Linked DNA regions of Ovis aries. The protein of the gene in region 2 interacts with the protein of the main gene of each other region in a biochemical or structural test. Links are inferred from orthologs where the notes say so. Each region holds a gene or a part of one and is shown on either strand. Other genes may lie near its edges.

Region 1 (12,707 bases), on a different chromosome or scaffold from region 2:
CTACAGATGTGTCTCCATGGGTATATGTCTATGTGGGTGAGACCCTGTGTTTGACAGTGTCTGAGGGTAGCCTGGGAGAGCAGTCAAATCTGAACCATACCAACCCTCAGGTCTCACACTTAGCCTCTCAGTGATGATGACCTCTCCAGTTTCTCATTAACCATCACATAGCACTCATAATAGGAAGGAATGAGAGAACTAAACTTTGGAGACGTTCAGAGACTTGCCCAAGTTCTCACAGACTGCTAGATCCACATAGGCATTAACCACAGCATCCCACCTGGGAGCCCAGAGACCTCCTAGTTCCACTGGGGGCTCATCTGTGTCCCACTGGCTCTTGGACTTAGGTGGGAACCAGGGTAACAGGAGGAATCCTGTCTTTTAGAGGAATCACCAGCTGACTGATCAGTCTTTCCGCACTCGATGGAGAGTGGGAAACGCAGCACACTGAGCCATCACCTTATTTGACCCTAGTAGACCCATTTGCTAGGGGCGGGAAGGAAGTACACTTTCCTTTGATTCTCAGTATATCCTGTTAAACATACTAACACGTAGTCACATGGAAACCACTATAGCCCCTCCAATACGTGCTGCCCTTTACTTGATGGAAATGCATTTTTAATTCACCCAGTCAATATTCGTGAAACTTGAAAGGTTTTATTTCTTAACTACAGACAGCTTTAAGAGTCGGGATACCTGGCGCCATCACTGCCTGGGCAAGTCCTCACCCGGGCTGCGAGGCGACAGGAGGACAGAAGAGAGGCCTTCGGGGTCAACCTTCCGCGGAGAGAGGCCCCTGCCCGCTGCGCCCTCACTGGCCCTTCTTGTGGGCGTTCTTGATGATGGCGTTTTTGAACAGCGTGACAAGGGGCGTTTGGCTCTTCTCCGAGGTCATGAACCCGCCGTAGCGCTTGTCCTTGGGCGGGCTGCCCCAGCGGAAGTGTTCCATCTTATAGGGCCCCGAGTCCTTCTTCTCGGCCGCCTCAGCCTCTGCCACCAGACCATACTCCAGCTCAGCCCGGGCGGCCGCGCTCTCAGCCTGGGCCTCGGGGCCGCGCGCCTGCTCGAGCCTCTCCCCGGTCAGCTCCCTCTTGAATTCGAGGGGAAAGGCCTGGGCCGACTCGTCCTCGGCGCCGTTGGGGTACACCTTCACCGGGCGCCGCTTCTTGCCCACCGGCTTGCCCCAGCGGAAGTGTTCCATGGAGTAAGAACGCTTGTCCTCTCGCGGACCCGTCTCGGCGCCATCGCCGCGGGGCCCGGGGCCTTCGCCCACCGCCACTTCCTCCTCGCGCTTCTGGGCCGCGCCCCCAGCTCCGAAGCTGCTGCTACCATTCCGACGGCCGAAGCGGTCCCAGCGGAAATGGCCCATGACGTACTTCCGGGGGTTCTCAGTCAGCGGCTGCTCATCGCCGTTGCCGGGGAACACCGGCGTCTCGGCCGAGAGGTCGGGCTTGCAGGCCCGGATGCACGCCTACGGGAGAGCGGCGAGCGCGTCAGGCCCCACCCATTCCAGGCGTTCCCCCGCCGCTCACGCTAGCCGCCTGCGCCCCCCACTCCCTCCGCACGTGCGGGGTCGCCCACTGGGCGCTTGGGAGCTTGGGCCTACTGGGCTAACTGCAGAGCATATCTACCACTCCCACCTCTGAGCTTCCTCAGACGTCTGAGACTCAGCTCGGACAGCGCCTTTTTTGTCCCCTGGGCTCCTGGTACCCCTGCCCGGCAGCTACAACAAAATCCCCGTCCCACTTTCTGGTGTACTTGCATTGTAGCTTTGTGGGTAGTCTATTCAGTAGTCGTGGCTCATGGGCTTAGTCGCTTGTCCGCATGTGGGATCTTCCCAGACCAGGGATGGAGCCCCTCTTCCCTGCATTGGCAGGTGGATTCTTAACCACTGAACCACCAGGGAAGTCCCCATCTCTGCTTTAGAGTGACATGGCTCAGACGGTAAAGCGTCTGCCAACGCGGGAGACCCGGGCCCGACCCCTGGGTCGGGCAGATCCCCTGGAGAAGGAAATGGCAACCCACTCCAGTACTCTTGCCTGGAAAATCCCATGGACGGAGGAGCCTGGTAGGCTACAGTTCATGGGGTCGCAAAGAGTCGGACACGACTGAGCAACTTCACTTTGTGGGTAGGGTAAACGTCCTAAACTTTATAAGCCAGATATATAGGAATTCATCAATAAATGGCAGGTGGGTGGGAGTTGTTGGCACTTAATGAATATTGAGGAAATAAATATGGTTCAGTTTGAGTCTGGGAAGGGCATTGGGTTGAAATTTGGGAGAAATCTGGCTTCCAGGGTCTGTAGTTTCAATGTGTCAGCCGTACCCCAGTGGTCTGTAAACATACCTCATGCCCTCCCCTAGCCATCTCCCTCCAAACTTGCCCACACCCATCTGGCACTTTCTCTGGTTCTTTCAGGTCTTCCAAGCTGATCCTGTCTTTTCCTCAATCAGTGAGCTTAGGGAGGGGGCGACTCACTTCCCTGTGCCTTTCTAACTGGATGGAAGGATAGGAAGTCAGGATTATTTCCATCGCAGGGGTCATGGAGTCCTGTACGTGGAGCCCTGTCTGCTTTCTGTGACTAGACAATTGTGGCACACATTTGCTTAGGAAAATGATCTTGAGGCTGTAGCCTTGAGTTTTCAGATACTCGGGACAACAAAGGAGGAAAAAGAAGGATCCCACCCACTCTGTTGAGCTGGGAACTTCATACTCCAGAAATTTAGAATTATAACACTGCAGAATAGTAACAGTGAGAAACAAATTATCTCATACTTCTCTCCCCTGGACATATAATGATACACAATTTCTCAGAGAGGAGAAGGGAACTTGGTAAGGTTCCACCGCCCATTGACAGAACTGGGACTGGGACTAGAACCCACAGACTCTGACCACCGCCAGTGCTGCTTCCCTGGTGAGCTCTCAACAGGAAAGACTGTGCAGTGGGTGTCTCTAATCAAGAGTGTCTTGGGTCTCTCGGAAACAGAGCTCATGGGATTCCTGGGCTCTTTACTTCTATTTTATATTCTACGTGCAACCTGCTCTGTTTTTGAGAAAGTCTTTCTCCACCTTAACTCAGCTTCTCTGCTGACAAAACACACAGAATGTAGTGGTGTGCATTCCACCCTCGCCAGGCAGGTACAGGCAGTAGGTTGGAACTCAGTCATGGCCACCAGAAGTGTTTCTTGTAGCCTTGAGCTGGTATTGTTCCTCATTTATACTTCCCAATACAAATAAATAATAACAAATACACACGCAAGCTATGGTGACCTACAGGGAGTTCCAGCCTGGCACAAAGGGCTTTGAGATGCTATGGAAAGGCTGCAGAAGGTCAGTCCTCGAGAAGCAGGAGGCATTTGGCACCAGTTAGTGGAAAATGGCACCTGAGTTTTTCCTTCTAGAGCTGGTTTGTGGTATTATCTTCCTGACTTTGTAACTGGTAGCAGATATAAGGAAAGAAAAATGGAATGGAAATGGAAGGTGATATGAGGTCATCTAAAAAGGAATAATTTGAAGGCTAAAAGATTGAAAGAATAGGTAGGGTCAGTCGAGGGAGCAATTATGGTTATTACTATCATTAGTGTTGTTTATTTTAATAGCACTATCTCTAAATAGTTTAAAAAGAGTGGCTCTCTATACAAGAAGACAGGGCAGGAAGTAAAGAAAATCGAGAAGACATTATGGACCAGACCCATCTCCCTGAAGTTGCTTCCTCCCTTCCTTGGCCCAATTCTTACTTCGCCCTAGAGGTCTATTCCTGCCCTTGATTGAGTTAGCCATATCTCTGGAAATGAATCTCCCCTTTTGCATGCTCCTTTCTTTGTGCTGTCCCCACCCCAGTACCATTTGATACCCAAATCAAGATGGCGGCCACAGCCCACGTACCAGCAGGTTACTTTCCGTGGTGAGGTCCTGACACTGGCTGCTCTCCAGGCACCAACCACGCACTTCCATGGAGGCCTGAAGCAGCAAGACCAGCAGCAGGGCGCCCGAACGACTGCTGCACAGTCTCGGCATCTTCCAGGCAGGCTGAGGCTCTGCAGAGGCAAACAAGATGAGTGGGACCCCTGCAAGGAGCAGAACAATGTTGGCCACTCATCAGGAAGGACCATGAGCCAACATTAACAATACTCTCATTTGTGGAGCTCGAGGCTTTTTGAGGACAAGAGCAGCTCAAGGAGCAGGTTGGTGTGCAGGGTGGTCGTGTGAGTTGTAATAAAGAGGGCAGTGGGACCTGGGTAAACTGCACAATTTTCCCTTTATCTTCTATTAAAAATCAGACACCAAAGGATGTTAGGGCTGGAAGCTATTTTGGGGGTCGTTTGGTATGGCCCCTTATTTGAGAGATGAGGAAACTGAGACAGAGTGAGACAAATGACTTGGGTTTTTCACAATGAGGTATGGCCAAGTTCTCTTGTTTCCGTCACTGAGCTTTTCTATTTCCCCATCTTCAGGAAACTAAAGTTCTAACACTCCAGATTCAAGGAGTAACTTGGGAAAGACAAAGGACTGTGAAACTCCTCCTCGAGGTGGTCTACTCCTCTCCACCAGGATTCTATCATTCCTCAGGAACTCCAATTCCTATGACTAGTAGGTTTGCATAATGGCAAATGAAACTGTCCAACCAAGCCAAAACCTCAGCCAACCTAGTTTGATGTCCTGTACATAAGTCACTCAGGGAATCACTATTTCCCAGACCCCTGTGACTTTGGAGATTTATTTTTAAAGTAGATCCCCATTTGAAACAAGTTCATCTCCTGAGTGCAATATACATCAGACTTCCTCTTGTTCTCTGAGTCTCTCAAATGTAGTCTGAAATAGCTGGACCTGAAGATGCTGTTGGTGTGGAAAGGAAGGACATGATCACACAGAGCAGAAGGGAACTACATCACATCATGAACTCCTGCCAAAGACACTTTCTTAGAGAAATCAGGAAGCACCACTGGGCAGATGCTTAATTAAAGAGATCCAGATGCAGTAAAAGGGAGAATCAATGCTGCCTTTTGCCCACTGTGCCCAACATTTTCCCCATCCCTTTAGCTTTCATACTGCCCTGCCACCCCTCACAGAGGTCTCCCCTCCAAAATGACCCTAAGCTCTGTTACCATGCACTCCACAGTCATTCTAGATTTTAGATCTTTTCAACCCAGCCATTATGGAAGAAATCTAATAAGAAATTTATATTAAGGTGTAGATGACTAATTGTCTCTTCTGATTTAAAAATATTTGCCCAAAGGAATCTCCTATCTGTGAAGGCATGAGCCAAATCTTTTTTATAGAGACAGCTTTGGAAGTGAAATTTCCCCTGCCTCTCATTGTCTGCTTCAGGAAGCCACTTCCTTCTCTCTGGCCCACCCCACTCCTTTTCCCAAAAGCTGAGCCGAAAGGGCTCCCTTCTGAATGGTTGCCAAGCGCAGCCCGAGTGTTTTCAGAGCAGCCATTAGATGGTGCTGGTAGCCAGTGAGCTGGCCTATCTGCATCACAGGGTAACTAGGAGAACATTGGTCAACCTGGTGTCCAGTTGTGACCGAGGACAGGATGCTCCTGTTGTAGACTTTTGGTGCTCCAGTTCAAGTACAAAGCCTGAATTTGATGGACAAGGTAAATTGTGTTAAATCTCTGAGACCACACAGCACATTTTGGTCAGAAAAAAATGCCCAAGTTTAAAAGAGAAGCAGAAAAGTGGTAGTTTTATGTTACTATGTTGTTGTTATTGTTTAGCCACTAAGTTGTGTCCAACTCTTTTGCAAACTCATGGACTGTAGCCCCTCAGGCTCCTCTGTCTATAGAATTCTCCAGGAAAGAATAACTAGAGTGGGTTGCCATGCCCTCCTCCAGGGAATCTTACCAATCCAGGGATCCAACCCAAGGCTCCTGCATCTCCTGCATTGGCAATTGGGTTTGTTTTTTTTTTTTAAACCACTAGTGCCACGTAGGAAGGCCTTATATACTATGGACAAGTGTAAAATAGCATCTTAGTAGAGAAGAAAGTAAAGTCATACAGATCTGACAATCCCCTCAACTATATTTCAATTCTTCTCAAAGTTGGCCAGTCTGAGATGACTTCCATTTTCTAAAAACCTACCTCATGATATCAGACCTTCCTGAAAAGTCTCAGACAGTGTTTCCTCTCTTGCCCCATGGGCTATATAATACAACATGATAACATCCTCACTCACCACGTCTCAGAGCTGCAATCTCCTGCTAAAAAACTAGGTAGCTTCCTGAAAGCAACTTATCTTCTTTCTGCTCATGTATATTTTGTATTTTTCTACAATAAACAAATATTACATTGCATGTTTTTAAAGCAATAAAATAATAGGTAGATGTCAAATGTGCTTTTTGTAAGGAGTGTTGAATAATTGAAAGCTTGGAAAAATGAATATAAACTTGTAATTTGCTAATCTTGACATTAACTTTATAATAGAACTACACTAATTAGGAATTCATATGTGTTGGTGAATTCTCTATGAGCTAAAGAAAACATATTTTGTTTTATTTAATTTCATTTTTAATATTCTTTTCCATTATGGTTTATCGGATGATACTGAGGACCTTGTTGTTTAATCCACCCTATATATAATAGTTTGCCTCTGCTAATCCCACACTCCCAGTCCTTCTGTCCCCCACCCCCCTCTAAAATTGGCCCTCTAATATTGCACACTGGCCATGCCAGTCTGTAAGAGATTAGAGGAACAGAGATGCAGAGTTTTGTCCTGATACCATGATACACACCCATCAAGTCCTAAAACAATGTCAAAGGAGTATTACATCATTAAATAAGCCGTGATCTGTAGATCTCAACACAAACAAGTGCTTCTTCCAGCACTTCTGTGAGAACCACCAGCTCCCCATTTATACAGGAAGAATTTGGGGGATCCAAATGCTCTGCAGACTCTCCCTCCCTCACTGGGAACCCACCTTGCCTGAGCCTGCATCTTGCCTGAGCTTCCACCGCCTCCTACGGCTGCTGCTGCTGCCCTGCTCTCTAAGGTCTGCGGGATTGGAGGTCCGTTCTGCGGTCCTATTGAGAGCAGAGACGGGGTGGTTCAGGACCGTGGACAGTTCCCATCGGGGCCACCTCTTTTTAACACCAGCAGCTCATATAGAGCAGACGGTGTCATTCTCTAAGCGCAGCCACGTCGGGGGCGCTAAGGTGGGCAGGGAAACGAAGTTTCAGAAGTCTGAATTCAAAGAAGTCTGAACGCAGGGAGTTTGTTGTCACTTTTAGCCTCTTCTCTTTTGCCCCCGTTTCCAACATCAATTTACGCTAGGGTATACCGTATCTTTTAAGAAGTGACACCTACCCGGCAAATCAGAAGTCCCAAAAGACTGGGTCTCCTGGAATCTCCCCAGAATACGGATAGGACTCCTCAGGAGTTCCTCTGCCCAGGACAGACGCGGCCGCCAGCTGCTGAAAGGCACCACTTTCAGCGTCGCTGCGGCTCTCCGGCCGTCCAGAGAGGCCGGTCCTCGCCGCTCCGCTACCAGCGGCTTCCCACGCCGCGCTCAGCACAGAAAGTTTTCAAAGAATTCAGGACGGCGCCGAGACAAAAGATGCCTCTGAGATCGGAGCTGGGCGACAGCATCCCGAGGCCCCCGGAGCAGGGGATCCGGGGATAAGATTGAAGTTCCCCGCCGCTGCGCCCTTACCTGTCACGGGGAAGCTGCCTCGGGCGGCTCCCGCTGCGCCGGGGCGAGGATGTTCAGCGGCCTCTCGGTCACTTTTCTTCCTTTCGTTCTCCTCCGTTGCGCCGTCTTGTCCCACTCGCTCTCCGCGGTCTTTATATACTTGCGGGGCCCGCCCGGGTGGGCGCTAGACGTTGAGTGGACTTCCCGGCAGCTGTAACGTAACAGGCAACTCCCCCGTCCATAGGAAGGGGCGGGGGCGTGGGGGCGCGGGAGGGGGTTTCCAGGTAGCGGCTGAGCTGGAGAGCAGACGTGCCTGGAAAGGGGTCTGGATCTCTGTCCCCCGGAGGCTGGAATTAACACTCTCTTGCTGAAGGGCACACCTGGCAGCCGTCAGGAAAGAACTTAATTAAGGATGGTTTTGGGTCTCCAGTTTCGGTGAGCGGGAGGCTTAGCACCCCGGTATGGGGCTGGCCTGGCCGGCCGGCTGAGATCATTAACGAGAGGGCGAAGTTACCTGTGTGCCTGCTTGGGCTGGCATCTGCCTTTTTCTCATTTGGAGGTAAATATCACCACCCAGGGAGTGCGTCTGTGATGCCTCTGATTTTCCCCAACGTTTGGAAACTGTGATGAGAAAATGTCAGGAGTCCTTACAATCCCTCTGTTACAAATTGGAGGGCCCTACTGTCAAGCCAAGGAGGAAAGAATGGCACTCAAAACTGCAATGGAGGAGTCTCTACCTTAACCTGGAGTAAAGAAGCAAAAGCAAATTGTGGGAAGCAGTGGGGGTGAACAGGAGTGCTGGAACTAAACTGGACTTCAAAAAGGTTCTTGCTTAATGTGTCATTTGCAAGAAATTTCTTTATTCCCAGATGCTCTTTTGGACTTCAGGACACCCTTGAGAATTTCTGGTTGGCAACACTGGCTTTATACTCAGCAATCCTTTTCTTTGGAGTCAGGAGAGATTCACGCTCCTTAATAGTTAAATAAGGTATTATTACCTGGCCTTGGCTTCTTTCCAGGGCATCTCTTCCCTCTCTATCTTGTTTCCTGGCACTTTGACCATTCACAGCATTCACATTCCCATAAACACTATTTTCTCAAGGCCTCACCTCTTTGTCTATGCTATTCCTTCCTAAAACACCCTTTCTCCTTCCAACCACCTGGGAAAATTAGACTCTTGCATTAAGATTTAGCTTATCCATCATCACCAGTTCCCTGAAGATCTCCTTGGTCAATTGTCCTTCCAAGACATGAAACATGATCATCTCTTTTCCAGAGAAGCCCACACTCATCTTATCTGTATATGTAGCTTGCACAGCTGGAACAAATTCACTCTGTTTTCCATCTTTCCTCTTCCAGCCACTCCTGCCCCACCCCTGCCACTGCCAGGCTTATGAGCCCTCTCAATCAGAGATCCTCATTTTTCTCTGTACTATTTTTATAACTTTAAGAGGCAGCTGATGGTAGCAAAAGAGCCAGACTGGGAAAAGTTCAGATTGACCCAGCTTCTGTCCTGCTCTGTCAGTTGGGTTCTTAGTTAGGTGCAGCAGAACCAACTTTAGGGGATGTAAACTCACAGACTATTGAATCACATTTAGAATCACTGGGAAAGCTGGGCAACCAGGATCCAAAACTGGGCAGAGAAAAAGGGTGTCTGGAATCATGGCCACTGGTCGGATCCAATGAGAAAGACAAACAGACCACTTCTGGGAACAAGAGGCCACAAAGTCAGGCATTGGACACAGATGACACTTCTAAGTCCAGATTGGGCGCTTGCCATTCCCATTTTGACTGATGTCACAGAAAGGATGTCACCGCCCTTGCTTCGTTGTATCACTAGCTTCTCTTTGAAAGCCTAGAGCAGGTGCTTCTGATTGTCTGAGATGATAATATGATTTATCCCTCTCTTCCCCGATAATGTGGTAAATTACATTGTTGATTTTTAGTGTTGCACCTACCATGCATTCCTATTCTATGAGCCCAATTTGATTATGATGTGCTACCATTATGTAGCATTGGGTTCAGTTTATTAATATTTTATCTAATATTTTTGCATCTATGTTTATGAGCTCAACCTATAATTTTCCTTTCTTGTAAGATTCCTGTTAGGTTTTGGTGTCAAAATTTTGCTGTCTTTCTAAAACAAGTTGGAAATCCCTCCACTGACTCCCATTTTTTCTAATTTAATAGAAGAGTTTGTATACAATGGTGTTTATCTCTTCCTTAAATGTTATCTGAAACATTTGTTTTGGATCTAGGTCTTTAAGGTTGCTTGTTTGTTGAGTGGCTTTAAACTACAGATTCAATTACTTAAATAACACTATTCCAATTGTCTATTTCTCTTTGTGTAAGTTTAGTACTTCTAGGTATTTGTCCATTTCACTTAAATTTTTAAAATATTTTGGCTTGAAATTTTTATTATATCTTCTTATTATCATCTTAGGATCTATGGAATCTCTATGGTCCTCTTTTATCTCTGATACTGATAATTTATTAATAGATCCTCTCTCTTTTTTATTTATTTTATTAGGGGCTTACAATTTTATTAGTATTTTTAAAGAATGAATTTCAATGGTGATGATATTCTGTTACATTTACTTTTTTATTTTTAAAATTTCCACTTTTATTATAATTTCTTATCTTCTAATTTCTAATTAACTACTCTTTCTATTCTCTTGAGTTGGATATTATAAATAAATGCTTTTACTTAGATAATTGATACTCAACTTTTATTCTTTTTGACCTGTGTATTTATGGCTATAAATTTCTAAGTATAGCTCCAGTTGCATCTCACAAGTTTTGATATATCATATTTTTATTACCATTTGGTTTAAAATATTTTGTTTTCATTGAAATATCTTAATTGACCTGTAGGTTATTGAGAAGTGCTCTGTTTAACTTTCAAACACTGGGGGTTTTTTAGATCTGTTTTGAAACTACATTTTAGCATAATTCCTCTGTGGTCAAAGAACATACTTTGCTTCTAGTCCCTTGAAATCGGGGGAACTGCTTAATGGATGAACATATGGCCCATTTTGATTAATGCTTTATGTAAACTTCAAAAGAATATGTATTATATGATTTCTCAAATATTCTATATCCTTTCTATACCTATATTCTTTCTGATTATTTATCATCTTAATTAGTTACTAATATATATATGTTTTTTAAGTCTCCCCATTAATCTTGTGAATTTAACTACTTCTACTTTTGATCCTGGCTTTAAAAAAAGACTCTTTCTAGAAATCTAATATAGAACGTAGGATAAAGATGGCAGAGAGTTACTAGGACATGGTTGCATGCTGATGGGAATAATAGAGTCGAGAAGGGAAAACTGATGCTGCAGATGAGAGTCAGAAAAACCAAATGATCCAAGTCTTAAGTAGAGTGAGGTTCAGACGAAGAACCTGGCTTCCCAGCAGTGGAATGCTTTCCTCTTCCAAAAAAGGAGGAGATATAGACACAGGAGACTTGTAAGAAAAGCCATGGGAAGATGAGCGATTCTGTACCAAAGTCTTTACCTTTTAACCCAAAATTTCCTGAGGAAATATCTTACAGTTATCCTTTAAATGCTGTCTAAGACTATTCACACAATATTGTTCATAGTAGCAATGAAATACACTAAACATCTAGGGTGTAATTATAAAAACAGTAGAGTATACTTATAAAAATTATGGTAAAGCTATGCAATGGAGTATTTTGCAGTTACTCAAAATAAAGTAGATGTTTAGACATAAAAAATAACCACTGTATGTTGAGGGGAGGAAACATGATAAAACATGAATATACAGTTGACCCTTGTGCTGCACGGGTCCGCTTATACTCCTATTTTTTTAAGTAAATATGTGCGACTGTCCTACGTGATCGTGGTTAGACAATGGCGGTGGGACTGCAGATAGGGGAAGCTGACTGTGGAACGCAAACATCTGTGGATTTTGGTATCTAAGGGGGTTCTGAAACCAATTGTCCACAGAAATGGAGGGAATGACTATAAATAGAGAGAAATAGAAATAGAGAAAAAGTGAAAAGATACCAGAGTGTTAATAATATTTGTTCTGGCTATTTAATACTATATCATAACCTACCCTCAAAACTTGATGGTTTTTTTGTTTGTTTGTTTGTTTTTGCTGAGACCCAATTTTATTTATTTGGTTTTAACATTTTGGCCACATGGCATGTGGGACCTTCCCTAACCAGGGACTGAACCCACATGCCCTGCATTGGAAGTGCAGAGTCTTAATCACTGAACCTCCAAGGAAGTCCAATGTGATGGCTTTAAACAACATTTATTTCGCTCACAAATCTGCAGTATGGCCAAGGTTTGGCAGGGCCTACACATCCCTGCTCTACTTGGCATCAGCTTGGGCAGCTCAAAGCCTGGCTTCTACAAGTCATCTGAAGCCACTCACTCATGTAGCTGGTTCCTGACTGGGAAGACTCAGCTGGGGGCAAGGAGAGCTGGGGATCCTCAGACATATCTATCTCCATGCAGTCTAGCCATGTGACCTCTTCAGCATGCCTTAGGGGAGCTAGACTGCTTCCACAGAGCCTCAGGCCTCCCAAACATGCATCAGGAAGTGACTTGCTCTGCTGGCTAGAGGGAGTCAGCAAGGGCTTCCCCAAGAAAGGGATGCTGAGGTGGGTTGAGTCTTGATACCGGGATGAAGAGAGGAAAGTCATTCCAGGCAGAAGGAACAGCATGTGCAAAGGCCTCAAGGCAGGAAAAGCCTTATGGTCACAGAATGCTGGTACAGGTGGTAGAGGGAGAGAGGGAAAAGACTGGAAACGGTCAGAGGCCAGAGGCGAGGAGCTGGGGACCATTCAGCGATTGGGTCAAAGGAGCCGCAGGACCAGCTTTCTGTGGCAGTGAGGAGGATGATCAGAGGAGTGGGAGCCTGGAGCCAGCAAGGGGTGATTCAGAGTCCAGTGCTCTGCTCCAGGGCCTGGGGACCAGTCCAGCCAGCAGTGGGAAAAGTGGGGCAGGAGAACAGACAGAGGCAGCTTCATGAAATACTTAAGAGGTGGCATCAGTGTCAGGGAAGAAGTCACGGACACTCTCCCCATCTGAGGTCAT
Region 2 (12,709 bases):
CTGTACGGCACAGGGAACAATATTCCCTATCTCGTAATAACCTATAACGGAAAAGAAATCTGTTTTACTGAATCGCTTTGTTGTCCACCTGAAGCTAGTTCAACATTATAAATCAACTATACTTCAACTTAAAAAATTTATATGTATTTTCCAGACTTCTCTGAGCCTGGTTTTTAAGTAGGTTTCTCAAAAAAAGCCCACCAAATCCAAATAAATCAGTCATGTCTTCGTCTTCCTGTTTTGTTCAGCAAGAACTGTAAATCCATGAGTCAGCTTTCTTTCCATTTCGCTCCTTTGTACAAACAGGCAGGCCATTCCTCTGTGTCAGGCTTCACGTACCTGGAGTTTTTTCAAAATCTCACTTGTTTCATTTAATCTTGGAAGTAAAAGCACAATGTGACTGAACTTTTGAGTTTCTGTTCCCATGAGAGTGATGAATGATGAAAAGGTACAGAGAGTGAAAAAGTTAGATCTGTGTTGGTGAACAATTTGTTTCAGCCACATTGAGTTTCAGGCGAAAATACACTGATGTAGGACGCTGCAGTGTGACGGCTTAGAGGAGGAGAAGAGAGGTCGGGCAGAGGCGGAAAATGCAGAGGTTTTCTTTCTGATATTGACAGTAATTAGCTAACAGCTGTGGCTGGTGGGCTGGCTTCCTGGTGGCTCAGGGTTAAGGAATCCACCTGCAGTGGAGGGGATGCAGATTTGATCTCTGGGTCAGGAAGATCTCCCGGAGTAGGAGAGGGCAACTGATATTCTTGCCTGCACAATTCCATGGACAGAAGAGCCTGGTGGGCTCTAGTCCATGGGGGTGGCAAACGAGTCAGACGTGACTTAGTGACTAAACAACAACGGCAGCGTAGCTGGTAGGTACAAATCATGACCGGAGCATAATTTTCGATATACGTAAACAAAAATCACAAACAGAATTACTCTCAAGCCTTCTTGCTTTCTTCCTGGTAGAATGAAATCCCCAGGGTGCTATGAGATTCATAGAAAACCCACATGTGTTGTTTTTTAATGGGGTCATTTTGAAACTTCAACATTACAAATAAAATATATTTTAAATTGAGGAGTTAAACTTTTCACAGATAAAATTTTAGGCTAAGTGTTTTCTTTTCCCTCAAGTGGAATTATGACCAAATTTATTGTTTTATTTTCCCTTTTAAATTTCATTCAATGTTGGTTTAAATTTAAAAGTGAAATTTGTAACTCCGTTTAGAATGTTAGGTTTAGAAATCAGATCATAACAGTGTCATTAGCAGCTGAGCCCCATATAAAACCTCACTGAATAGTTCACTGATTGAGTTGCTGAAATCTTCCATTTGGCTCTATTTGAGGGGCTTCCAGGTGTCTCTTGTCAGTGAAAACACAGTTAATAACAGTACATTCTGATTACTAACTTCATTAACCCAGGACCCAATTCAACCATGACGATCACAGATCAAAGCTCTTCTCTTTTTCTCCTCCCTGAAGTGGCAGCATTCAATTGTGCTAGAAATCCTTTATGTGAATTATACAAATATAGTTTTATATGTTCCCTCTCAGTAGGCACATCACAAAGTAAATGCATTGTATTCATTTAATTTTCTTAAAATATTGAAAATTTAGAAAATATTATGTGTCATTTATTTCTAAGTTTGAAGCATGTGGGGAACCCTTATAAAGTATACATTAAACCATTATTCAACATAAGAATTAGAATAGTACTGAAGCCATCGAAAAATCATGCGTCTTTCTGCCCAAATTCACCCACTAGCTGCCTTGAATTATTTTAGAGTGTTCAAAATTTCTTTATACCTAAAATAATAAACATAGAGATGTATTTTTATTTGCTTCACTTGAGAAATAAATGAATGAAATGGTGAAAGCAGATTTGAATGGATTGTTGCCTCTCCATGCTGGGGCAACGAGGCTAGCCAAGTGAATATCATAATTTCGTTTCTAGGGTTTAAGCTCCGATAACCTTTTAAGCGCAGTTTGAGTAACAGATGCCTATAGTGACAAGCTCTTTAGTACCAGATCATTTCAATAGATTATGTACTTGTCGTTAACTATGAGATGGGGCTTCCCAGGGGACGCTAGTGGTAAAGAACCCCCCTGCCAGTACAGGAGACGTGAGAGATGGCAGAGACACAGGTTTGATCCCTGGGTCTCTGGATTCCCTGGAGGAGGGCATGGCAGCCCACTCCAGTATTCTCTCTTGGAGAATCCCATGGACAGAGGAGCCTGGCAGGCTACAGTCCATAGGGTCGCAAAGAGTTGGAAACGACTGAAGTGTCTTAGCACCCACACATATGATGAGACGATGGGTATTATCTTCATTTCACTGTTTGGACTATAGATGCTCAGGAAACTTGCTCAAAGTTCTGGAGCTGGTAAATGAAATTTGAACCCAGTGTTCCCCTAGTCCAGATGCTGTGTGCTCGTTTTATATGCAAGCATACGCTTGGATCAATGCATGATAAACTGATAACTGAGCGTCAAGATGTGACTATACTTAAAAAAAAGATGTGACTATAACTTAATCACTTATGATTCTTTTTAAAGGGTTTACATTTAATATCAACAATATCAGTTTAGATAATGTTATTCTACTAACACAGATTGATGGCATAAAGTTTAACCAATTAATCTTTGAAGAAATGGGCTGATTGGTTATTTCATGCTTAGAATATTATCTTTCTATTTAGCCTTTTCCAGTATTGAATGTGGCCCTGCAAATTTTAAAACAATTAGTACTACTAAGGATAAAAAATTAGCTTTTAAAAATACAGGTATGCCTGTGTATTCTCTATGTTTAAATATGCCCATTTATACCCCCCCCAAATTCTGTCAAATTCAAGAAAACTATAAAATTTAAAATAAATTAAAAAAGATTATTTGGCTGCATTGGGTCTTAGTTTCAGCATGTGGGATCCAGTTCCCTGACTAGGAATCGAACCTGGGCTCCCTGCATTAGGTGCCTGGAATTTAACCCCTGTACCACCAGGGGAGTTCCTCAAAGATAGTTTACGAAAACATATGATTAAGCCCAAGGCATATGTGTATTTTCTAATAATGCTGAGAGAGAGCAAAACCGACAGGTCTTCATTCATCCATGAATTTGTTCGTATACTTGGTATTCCTAAAAGTACTAATAATCACTGTTTTTGAGTGCCTATATTTATTGGGCACTGTTGTGTTGAGCTTTAATCTTTGATCTGATAATTGTCTTTTCTCCTTTGAAAAGACAGGTATTATTTTGCACATTAACAATGAGAAAGCTAACCCAACACAATCTCACAGCTAAAAAGTGATGTAACCATAATTCAGCCATAGGTTATGTGATTGAGGAAACTGTACTGTCTACAAAAGGAGGCTCGTACAATTTGATGCAGGAAAATCCAGAGTCGGGAACTGGCTCTTAAGTTTTGATGCTGCCAGTGATTTCACAGGCGAGGTCAGACAGTCTCTCTGGGTCTTAGAGGGTTAGGTGAGATGGTATCTAATATCTGTTCTGGCTCAAAACTAACTTCTCTTCTATCTACTCTCGCTCCACAAATCACTGGTAATTTGGCGATTACACTGTCATCAGCACCTTTTTGTTGGAATGCTTATGTGTACTTCTAAAAAACTAATAATCAAAATATGTTCATTGTAGCAAATTTACACAATAGAAACACCCTCCGTAAAGAAAGTAAACAAGCTCCTTCATATTATTGCCCAAGAATAATGACTACTGATTGCTCATGAGTTATTGGAAGTAATATACAGGAGGTATGTATGTATATTGGTGGAACTTTAGATAGTTGGTATCATAGTAAATATTCTTTTTTGTGTATTCCTCGGAGGAGCCTGGTAGGCTGCAGTCCATGGGGTCGCCAAGAGTCAGACATGACTGAGCGACTTCCCTTTCCCTTGTAACACAAAACAGAAGTCGGTACTTATTTACATGTTATTAAATAATTTTTCAGAAATGTTTTAGTAATTTCAAAATATTTAGTTTGGGCCAGAAAGAGTTTTTTTTCTGAAGTAGGTAATGACTATTCGTAGCCCAGAGTCATGGTTGGTACCTGCCAGGTGAACAAAAGTGCAAGATAAAAACCTTGTTCATGCAAGTTACGGCAATTGTTATTTGACTTTTTAAATCAATGTCTTGAAAATCACTTCTATCACTAATGAAAAATTATTTCTAATAGGATTTATACTTCATTGAATTTTCTGGTGAAAATTTCAATAAAGGTATCTGACGCTGCTCACTATTTACATTTGGAGTATATACTCCTGACCAGCATTGGTAAATGCTAAGTAACCCCCCTTAGCAAAATATTAAAGGATCAACACATATATCACAGTATTTATACTGAAGCTTTTTAAAGGTTCATTCCTGCTCCTTGGTGTAAAATAAAGACTTATGTCCACACACAAGTGTTTGTAGCAGCTTTATTCACAGTTGCCAAAATCTGGAAGCAACCAAGATGTTCTTCAGTAGGCAAACAGATAAACTATATGACAGTCATACAACTAAGTACTATTCAATACCAAAAAGAAATCAGCTACCAAACCATAAACATATCTGAAGCACTCTTAAATGCATATTATCCAGTGAAAGAAGCCAGTCTGAAGGTTATATAGTGTATGGTCACAACTATAGGACATTCTGGAAAAGGCAAAACTATTGCAACAGTAAAAAGGTCACAGGTAGCCAGCAGGTAGGAGGAAAAGAGGGGGGAACAGGTGGAACACAGAGGATTCTTCAGGCAGTGAAACAATTGCCACTGACATTGTCTGCCAAAGCACATGGAATATACAACACTTGAGAATGAACCCTAATGTAATCTATGGACTTTGAGTGATAATGATGTATCCCTTTGGGAGAATCTTGGTTTTACTGGAGAAAGAAGAAGAAACGTCACAGAGGAATGTTTGGAGAACAGGAAAAAATGAGAAAGGCATGGTCTTAGCACTTAAAGAAACAGAAGCCTGATACTGGGCCCTGGGCGTGTAGGGGAGGGGGGCTGGGCACACGGCTCTTGACTAAGACTCCCCCCATCCCTGTAAACTGCTCCAGGAGGAAGTGCTGGAGGCAAGATACAGGAGGCTGATTTCCTGTCAGTGGCAGAAGTGGGCTGGTCCTCAGTGGACCGGGCAGCGTCTGAAATGACCCCTGCTGGAGAAGCAGAGGGGACTGGAAGGACAGCCCCCGCAGAAGGTGGGGTGCCTCTAGCTCTCCCCCATGTCTCCAGTTTCCGGGGTTGCTCGCAATCACGTGAAAGAATGGACAGGAAGAGTAGCAAAGACAGAAACACCTACCGTGTCCTGCCACAACGTGGGGTCTCTTTAAATATAATTTAAAGCCTCGCACATTTCTATGTCAAAATAGAGGCATGGCAGTGAATCAGGCTTCAGTATCAGCTTTCATGTGTAAGCTTTAATCTTACTGTTACATTTTAAAGTAGTGTTTCCTCATCAGTACTGACAGTGCTTCTCAGGACTTGCTGTCAATATGCAAAACATTTAGAAATTTGAATTAAGCAGTACCTTGTCATGTTTTCTCTTCTCATGAGCATCTGAGGAGACTCTAAAGTAAATCAAAAGATAATTCACTGGTACATTTCTCAAAATACATGCAAATTGGAAAGTACAGATTTTATTGTTCAGTAGACAAATCTGTGGCATTATTTTGGAGCAAAGCAAGTATTTCTCTCTAAAATATAGTTGTGGAAGGCTAGTTTATGTCATGATGTCCTCTGGGGTTCAGGTCAGGTTTTTTTCCGTATTTATAACATTCTAGCACCAAGAGTTCCCTTCTTTTAGATTTTTACAAATATTGCCTAAAATCCTTATGCTATAGATTTAGTCTTCAAAGCTAAAATCCTTGCTAATGAGTACGTAAAGTCCAGTTCAAAAAATAAGTAATAGGGAAATAGTAAGTCACTTGCATGTGGAAAGTGAAAGAACTCAGCATGAATTGTGTAGTTCTTTAGGGAGCAGAAGCCGGATCTCAGTGGGGCATCACCTGTTCTAGACATTTCAGCAGGCTCTGGGGCCCTGGTTAAAGGGGCAGGAAGACCTTGTTCTCTGTCTTTATTAGGGACAGTTGTACACAGTTTGATATCAGGAAGCTTAGCTTGCCTTGTTAATTTAGATTTCCCAGAACACTTGGATCCTCATAGCTGCTATTTTTTTTTTAATCCCAAACTGAATTGCCTGTGAGAAATATCAGTCTCTTTGCTTGAGCAAATTAATCTCTCTGTCTCTGAGAAACACACAGAGTTTTCTGACTCAAAATATCCCCCCTCCTTTTTTTTTTTTTTTTGTTTTAAAGTCACCGTTTTTGTCCCAGTAGAAGTTTCATTTCAACTTCGGCACAGGAAGAATGAATGAGCAAGTCTTATTAAATTACCTGAAATTTCAGCTTGGTTTTTTTTTTTATGATTAAGCAATATGTTCTCAATATTTCTCCCCTAAATACTAGAATCAAATTTTATACTCCAGTGTTGTAAAGTATAACATTAAATCCACTCATGAGAATATACTTAAGGAAGCTGTGATTTCCATGTTACAAAAACAAGCAAACTGTCACACCCTTGTAAATCACAAGAAGGAAACACTGTTAAACTCCTCATAAGGACTTTGTTTCTTTTTCTTTTTATAAATCCATAGTGCCTATAACCTGTGATGAGGATTCACATTTTACAGCCAGAAAGTAGCATGATATTAAAAATACAGCAAGACTGGGCACTGCTTCACATCAGAAAAAAATCACAAACTTCAACTGATACAAGAGAATTTTTCACTCCATGCCCTACACAGAAGAAAAAGCTGTGGCTCATACAGACTGTTCAGATTGTACACATGAGAAGGAGAAGGTCTCTTAAGCTTGTGTTTGGCACCGCAGTTTGTCCCCATTTAATATCTGCTAGACAAATCACAGAGGCCACCTAGAGGAGAGCAGCAAATGATCTCTTTGAAGGTTTTCCTCAGTTCCTGGCTCCGCAGGGCGTAGATCAGAGGGTCGATGACAGAATTACACATGATCAGGATGAGATACAGGTTAAAGTGAGACATGAAGCACACGCAGTAGGGGTTCTGGGGGCAGGAGATGTAGAATATCAGGTGCAGGAAGAAGGGGGCCCAGCAGACAACAAAGACCCCGATCAGGATGGTCAGCGTGATCGCCCCCTTCATGTTGGCGCCCTGGCGGATGGCGCCGGTGCCTGGCAGGACCGCGATCCTCTTAATGTGGAGCCTGGCCATGAGGAACATGTGGACGTAGAGAGACGCCATGAGAGCCAGCATGGTGAAGAACACGGTGATGAGGCAGATGATGACAGCGCTGCTGTCTGAGTAAATGATGAACAAGACGCCCGACACCGTGCAGGCCGCCCAGATGGCACTGATGGTGATCGCCACCCGCCGCACCGTCATGATGCTATGGTACTGGAGCGCATAGAAGATGGTGAAGTACCTGTCCACCGCGATCGACAGCAAGCTGCAGATGGAGGCGAGCAAGGAGCTGCAGATCACCGAGTCGATGACGTTGTCAATATTCACCGTGAAGCTCTGCGCGTCCGTGTCTGTGCTGTTCAGCAGGGTGATGACAATGGTTTCGGACCCGTTGGAAACGCTCACCAACATGTCAGCCACAGCCAGGCTGCAGATGAAAAAGTACATGGGTGAGTGCAGATTCTTATTCTTGGCGATGGCCACAATCACCAGAATATTCTCCAACAAGCTGATGACCCCCAGAGTCACAAACACCTCGGGAGAGACAAAGAGCTGCTCATAGCACCCCCCGTCCGAGTAGCCTTTTGCCGGGGACTCACTGACATTGGTGGGCAGCCCGTGGCCGCTGCGGTTCCAGGAGTGGAGAGAGGTGTGCATTCCATGGGGCTGGGTGGAGTTCATCTTGGATTCAGGTCCCCTCTGGACTGACTGAACCTCCCGGGTCCGGCAGCCTCAGCGCCTTTCTCCAGTCTTGACTTGCCCCAAACGAAAGTTAGGTGGCCGACAGTGGCATGCCTGCTGTGAATAAACGTCCCGAGCTCCGGAGCTGGAGAGGAAGTTTTCAGTCTCTTTCAGGTGCGGCTCTGGTCGGCATCACTTGGAAATCCTAGGCTGCAAGATACTCCTTCTCCGTCGAGCCTGCCGCTGGCTTTTTTGTTCTCCCTTCCACTTCAACTTGAGTCGGAGGCATGCAGGTCTTTGCAGAATGATTTGCCTGGTGGCTGCGCTACGGCTGGGAGCCGGCTCTGTGTGCGCATGCTCTCATCAGCTGCCTCGCAGAGGTGCCGGTTCCGAACCTGAAGCTTTGCTTTGAGTGCCAGAAGCTGCTGCTGATTTTTATGGTGTGTGAAGGGAAAAAAAAAAAAAAATGCTCAGAGTGACTCCTCCTCTGCTTCCTTCTGACCAATCCGAGTCCAGTGGGGTCTGTGAGACACCCGCGATGGTCCAGAGACACAAACTGCAGGCAACCCCAATTCAGAGGCAGAAGCCTGTGGAGTCAGGCAGCCAGCAGGATGTGAGAGGCTAAATTTCCCCTGCAAGTTCTCAAGGAAAGCAACTTGGTTCCCAGAGGACATCTGAGATCACAACAAGCCTTCCTGAGGCACCCAGATTTATCCTGCTTAAAGGAGGGGTGTGTGTGTGTTCCTGAGTTAGATGCACTGCCTTTCCCCACCCCCCCACAGGGAACGCTCCCTAATGCTCTATGGTAACCAAAATGGGAAGGAAATACGAAAAAGAGGGGGTATATGTATACATGTCTGATTTGCTTTGCTGCACAGCAAAAAAAAAAAAAAAAGAAAAGAAACACCAAAAAAACCCAACATTGTTAAAAAAAAAAAAAAACAAAAAAAAACCTGACTCCAATAAAAATGAAAAAAGAGAAGAGATACACTGCTTTTTTGACCAGGACATTGAATTTATTTACCTTCTCAATTTATCTGAATTGAGAAGAAAGGCAGTCACGCTTCAGTTTGAGACAGCTGACACACAGAATGTTTAATAATGCAGGAGACTATGCTGTGGGTGCAAGGACTAGACAGGCAGTCACAGTTTATACCAGGGCTCAGAAGGAGTTAATTTCTTATGCACTAAGATCAGCTATTTCTCCATTGCAGAATTTCTTTGTATCATAGCTGGAAAAGTTTTGTTTTCATTTATGACATTTAAAAACCATATAGTATTAATGTAAACAATGATTACTTTGAACTCAGAAAGAAAAAGATCAATAGCTAGGCAACACTCAGGTTTTTAAAGCATTATTAAGGTGTAATTGAAATACAAAACTTACACATATTTAAGGCATCCATTTTAATGAGTTTGGACTCATTAAAATGAGCATGTATCTCCATGATACATCACAGTCAAGGTACTCAGCATATTCATCACCTCCAAAAATTTCCTTGTACTCTTTTGTGTTTTCTTTTTAGGTGTGTGATAACACGTAATGTGAGCTCTACATAATATATTTTAAAGTGCACAATTTATACTATTAACTATAAGCATTGTGTTATACAGCAGATCTCTAAAACTTCTTCATCCTGCATAACTGAAAGTTTACACCCTTTAGGCAGCAGTTCCTTGGCAGCGGTCTTGGCAATGATTTCTTGTAATTGACAGCCAAATTATAGGTAACAAAACCAAAAAGAGACAAGCGAGATTACATCAAACTGAAAAGTTCCTGAACAGCAAAGGAAATAATCAACAGTGCAAAAAGACGATCTATAAAATGGGAGATATTTGCAAACCATCTATCTGATTTGGGGTTAATACACAAAATATGTAACTGAGTAGCAAAAAAGCTAAATAACCTGATTGAAAAATAGGCAAAGGGCTCGAACAGACATTTCTCCCAAGAAGACCTAGAAATCGCTATCAGATATAAGAAAAGGTGCTCAGCAACACTCATCATAAGGCAAACGCAGAGCAAAACGGCGCTGAAGTATCACCTCACGCCTGTCAGGATGCTGCCGTTGCTGCTGCTAAGTCGCTTCAGTCGTGTCCGACTCTTAGCAACCCCATGGATTGCAGCCCACCAGGCTCCTCTGTCCATGGGGTTTTCCAGGCAAGAGTACTGGAGTGGGGTGCCATTACCTTCTCCACCTGTCAGGATGGCTGTTATCCAAAAAAGAAAAGATAACAAGTGTTGGCTAAGGTGTGGAGAATTTGGAATTCAGGTGTTTTTTGTTTTTTTTTTTTTTTTTGAAAACAATCTATCTACTTCATTGGAGTGTCCCAGGTGGCTCAGTGGTAAAGAATCTGCCTGCCAGTGCAGGAGACACAGGTTCGATCCCTGCGTCAGGAAGATCCCCTGGAGAAGGAAATGGCAACTCACTCCAGTATCCTTGCCTGGGACATCCCGTGGACAGGGGAGCCTGGTGCATGGAGGAGTCCATGGGGTTTCAAAGAGTCAGATGCAGCTAAACAACAAGGACATAACAGGCAAGCACGCACCTGGACAGGACAGGTGGCACGTCTCTTCTGATATTTGCCTTGTCTGCTATGCCATCCCTTTGTTCTCACGGACAATCGATCCTAACTACAAGAGTGATAACAAGAACTCAGCATTATTTTTGGTGTGGAGTTTAGACAATAGCTGTAGGTCCAATCTTGATAAAACAGAGGAAGAGGCAGCCTTTGGCTTTCTCTGTGTCCCACTTTGGGGCTCCCCAAGTGGCTCAGATGGCAAGGAATCTGCCTGCCAAGGCAGGAGACGTGGGTTCGATCCCCGGGTAGGGAAGATCCCCTGGAGGAGGAAATGGCAACTCGCTCCAGTATTCTTGCCTGGGAAAGCACGTGGACAGAGGAGCCTGGTGGGCTCCAACACATGGGGTTGCAAAAGAGTTAGGCGCAACTTATGACTAAACAACAAACCTGCTTCATTAACTGAAGGCTTCTAAATACAACTCACGCATTCCTTGGTAACTTTATTCAAGCCAAGATGAGTGAATGCTAGTTATACATCAGAATTTCTGAATGTTTTGAAAGATTGTGAGGAAGTTACTTTTCAAATTTAAACTCCACGTTATGAAATTTTATATAGTACATTTTCTTGCCATGACTACCTTTGGTTTTATCTCTGTAGAGTTTGTGTCTATTGATAATAAGGGACAATAAAAAAATACTTATTTCAAAGTTGAAGTCTTCAGTTACTTGGGTAAGGGCTTTATCTTCTTTCCCTTTGGTGACAGAGGCAACGGTAAGTATGATTCCTGAGCACTGAGTGAAATTAACATCTTTCATCTATCACTGAGATTGCGTGGGGCCGAATCCTGACTAATGGAATGTGGGTAGAAGTGAGAGTGGTGTTGTCTCTTTTGTAAGATTCTACACGTTTTCCCTCTGATCTCCTCATGGATGACTCTAGAATGTCTTTGAAGCTTCATGTTATAGATGTTAGAACCATATCATGAAGGACCCTGGTCTCTGAATGACTGCACAGAACACAACTCACATCTCCAGCTCCCTCCATGCCCTGGCCCGCCAACTGCACTGAACCTTGATAAAAGCAAGCAATAATTATTACTGTATTAAGCTGCCAAAATATTGGTGTTACCTATCACAGCAGCTAGCATTAATTGCCTTGATTTTGAAACTTATTTTGGGCTTCCCTGGTGGCTCAGACAGTAAAGAATCTGCCTGCAAGGTAGGAGATGCAGGTTCGATTCCCGGATGAGGAAGATCCCCTGGACAAAGGAATGGCAACCCACTCCAGTATTCTTGCCTGGAGAATCCCCATGGACAGAGGAGCCTGGCAGGCTACAGTCCATGAGGTCGCAAAGAGCTGGACACGGTGGAGCGATGAAGCACACACACATGCACCTATTTACAAGCAGCATATCCGAATTACCTGAAAATTCTTTCCTTCTCCCATTTTGGATTTGTGTGAGTGGTGAAATACCTAATAAGCAAGCAATAGGGAAAACATCTCTTGAAACGTTTAAGCATAAATATCCAACTCTATATACACTTCCTGAGTCAGCCCTTGACTTTACGCTCCCTACTTCTCCTGGTGACATGGTTGTTCCATTTCCTAAGGCTGAAAATTCAGAATATCTTTGACTTGTCCATCTTTCTCAAAAATCCCTACATGAAATCACTTGTAAAATACCTTCATTTCTGTCAGTGTGTCTAACTCTTCTTTTTTCTCCTTAAAAAGCTCACTTGTCACTATTCTCCTTCATGGAAACCTCATTGCAGTCAAGAGTCAATGTCATGAGCCTACTCAATTCTCCCTGCTTATAATGCGCTTTGCCCGTATTTGTGACTGCAGAGTCATCATTATGTTGTAAAATTATTAACAGGCATATTATATATATAATTATATAATAGATAAAATTAGTATTGAAGATAAAACTCTGTTTATTTTGGCTTTTCACCAAAAAAAAAAAAAAGATTTAATTTATAGGCATTTTAATCACATTGAAATCCCAGAAAACCATGTACATTTAAAATCTCAAATTGAGTTACTTGATGTAGATTTTATAAAACCTTGATTATATGGTTAATCATGCTGGAAAGATTTTTGTCATCTCAAGGAGGAATTTTAATTGTGTGACAGAGTTTAGTTTTGTAGAAGCCAAAAGAAATACTAGAGCCATTAGTGGTATTTTTGAAAATTTATTGCAGATGTCTTTTTTCTAAGTACACACTAAATTGAGTTAATCATAATATATTTCTCCTCTGAGCATAGTCCTTGTTTTACATTTTGTAACAATAA

What was found.
Region 1: the proteins of MC4R (region 2) and POMC form a complex in vitro, tested with the Homo sapiens proteins (2 studies listed by BioGRID). The link is inferred for Ovis aries from reciprocal best matches to the Homo sapiens genes MC4R and POMC.

What each region holds. Positions count from the first base shown.
Region 1 is NC_056056.1:32,601,573-32,614,279, forward strand, and holds POMC (pro-opiomelanocortin), read right to left. Parts: upstream 7,763-12,707; 5' UTR 7,655-7,762; intron 4,069-7,654; 5' UTR 4,019-4,068; coding exon 3,887-4,018; intron 1,472-3,886; coding exon 812-1,471; 3' UTR 638-811; downstream 1-637.
Region 2 is NC_056076.1:59,473,066-59,485,774, forward strand, and holds MC4R (melanocortin receptor 4), read right to left. Parts: upstream 8,281-12,709; 5' UTR 7,894-8,280; coding exon 6,895-7,893; 3' UTR 4,412-6,894; downstream 1-4,411.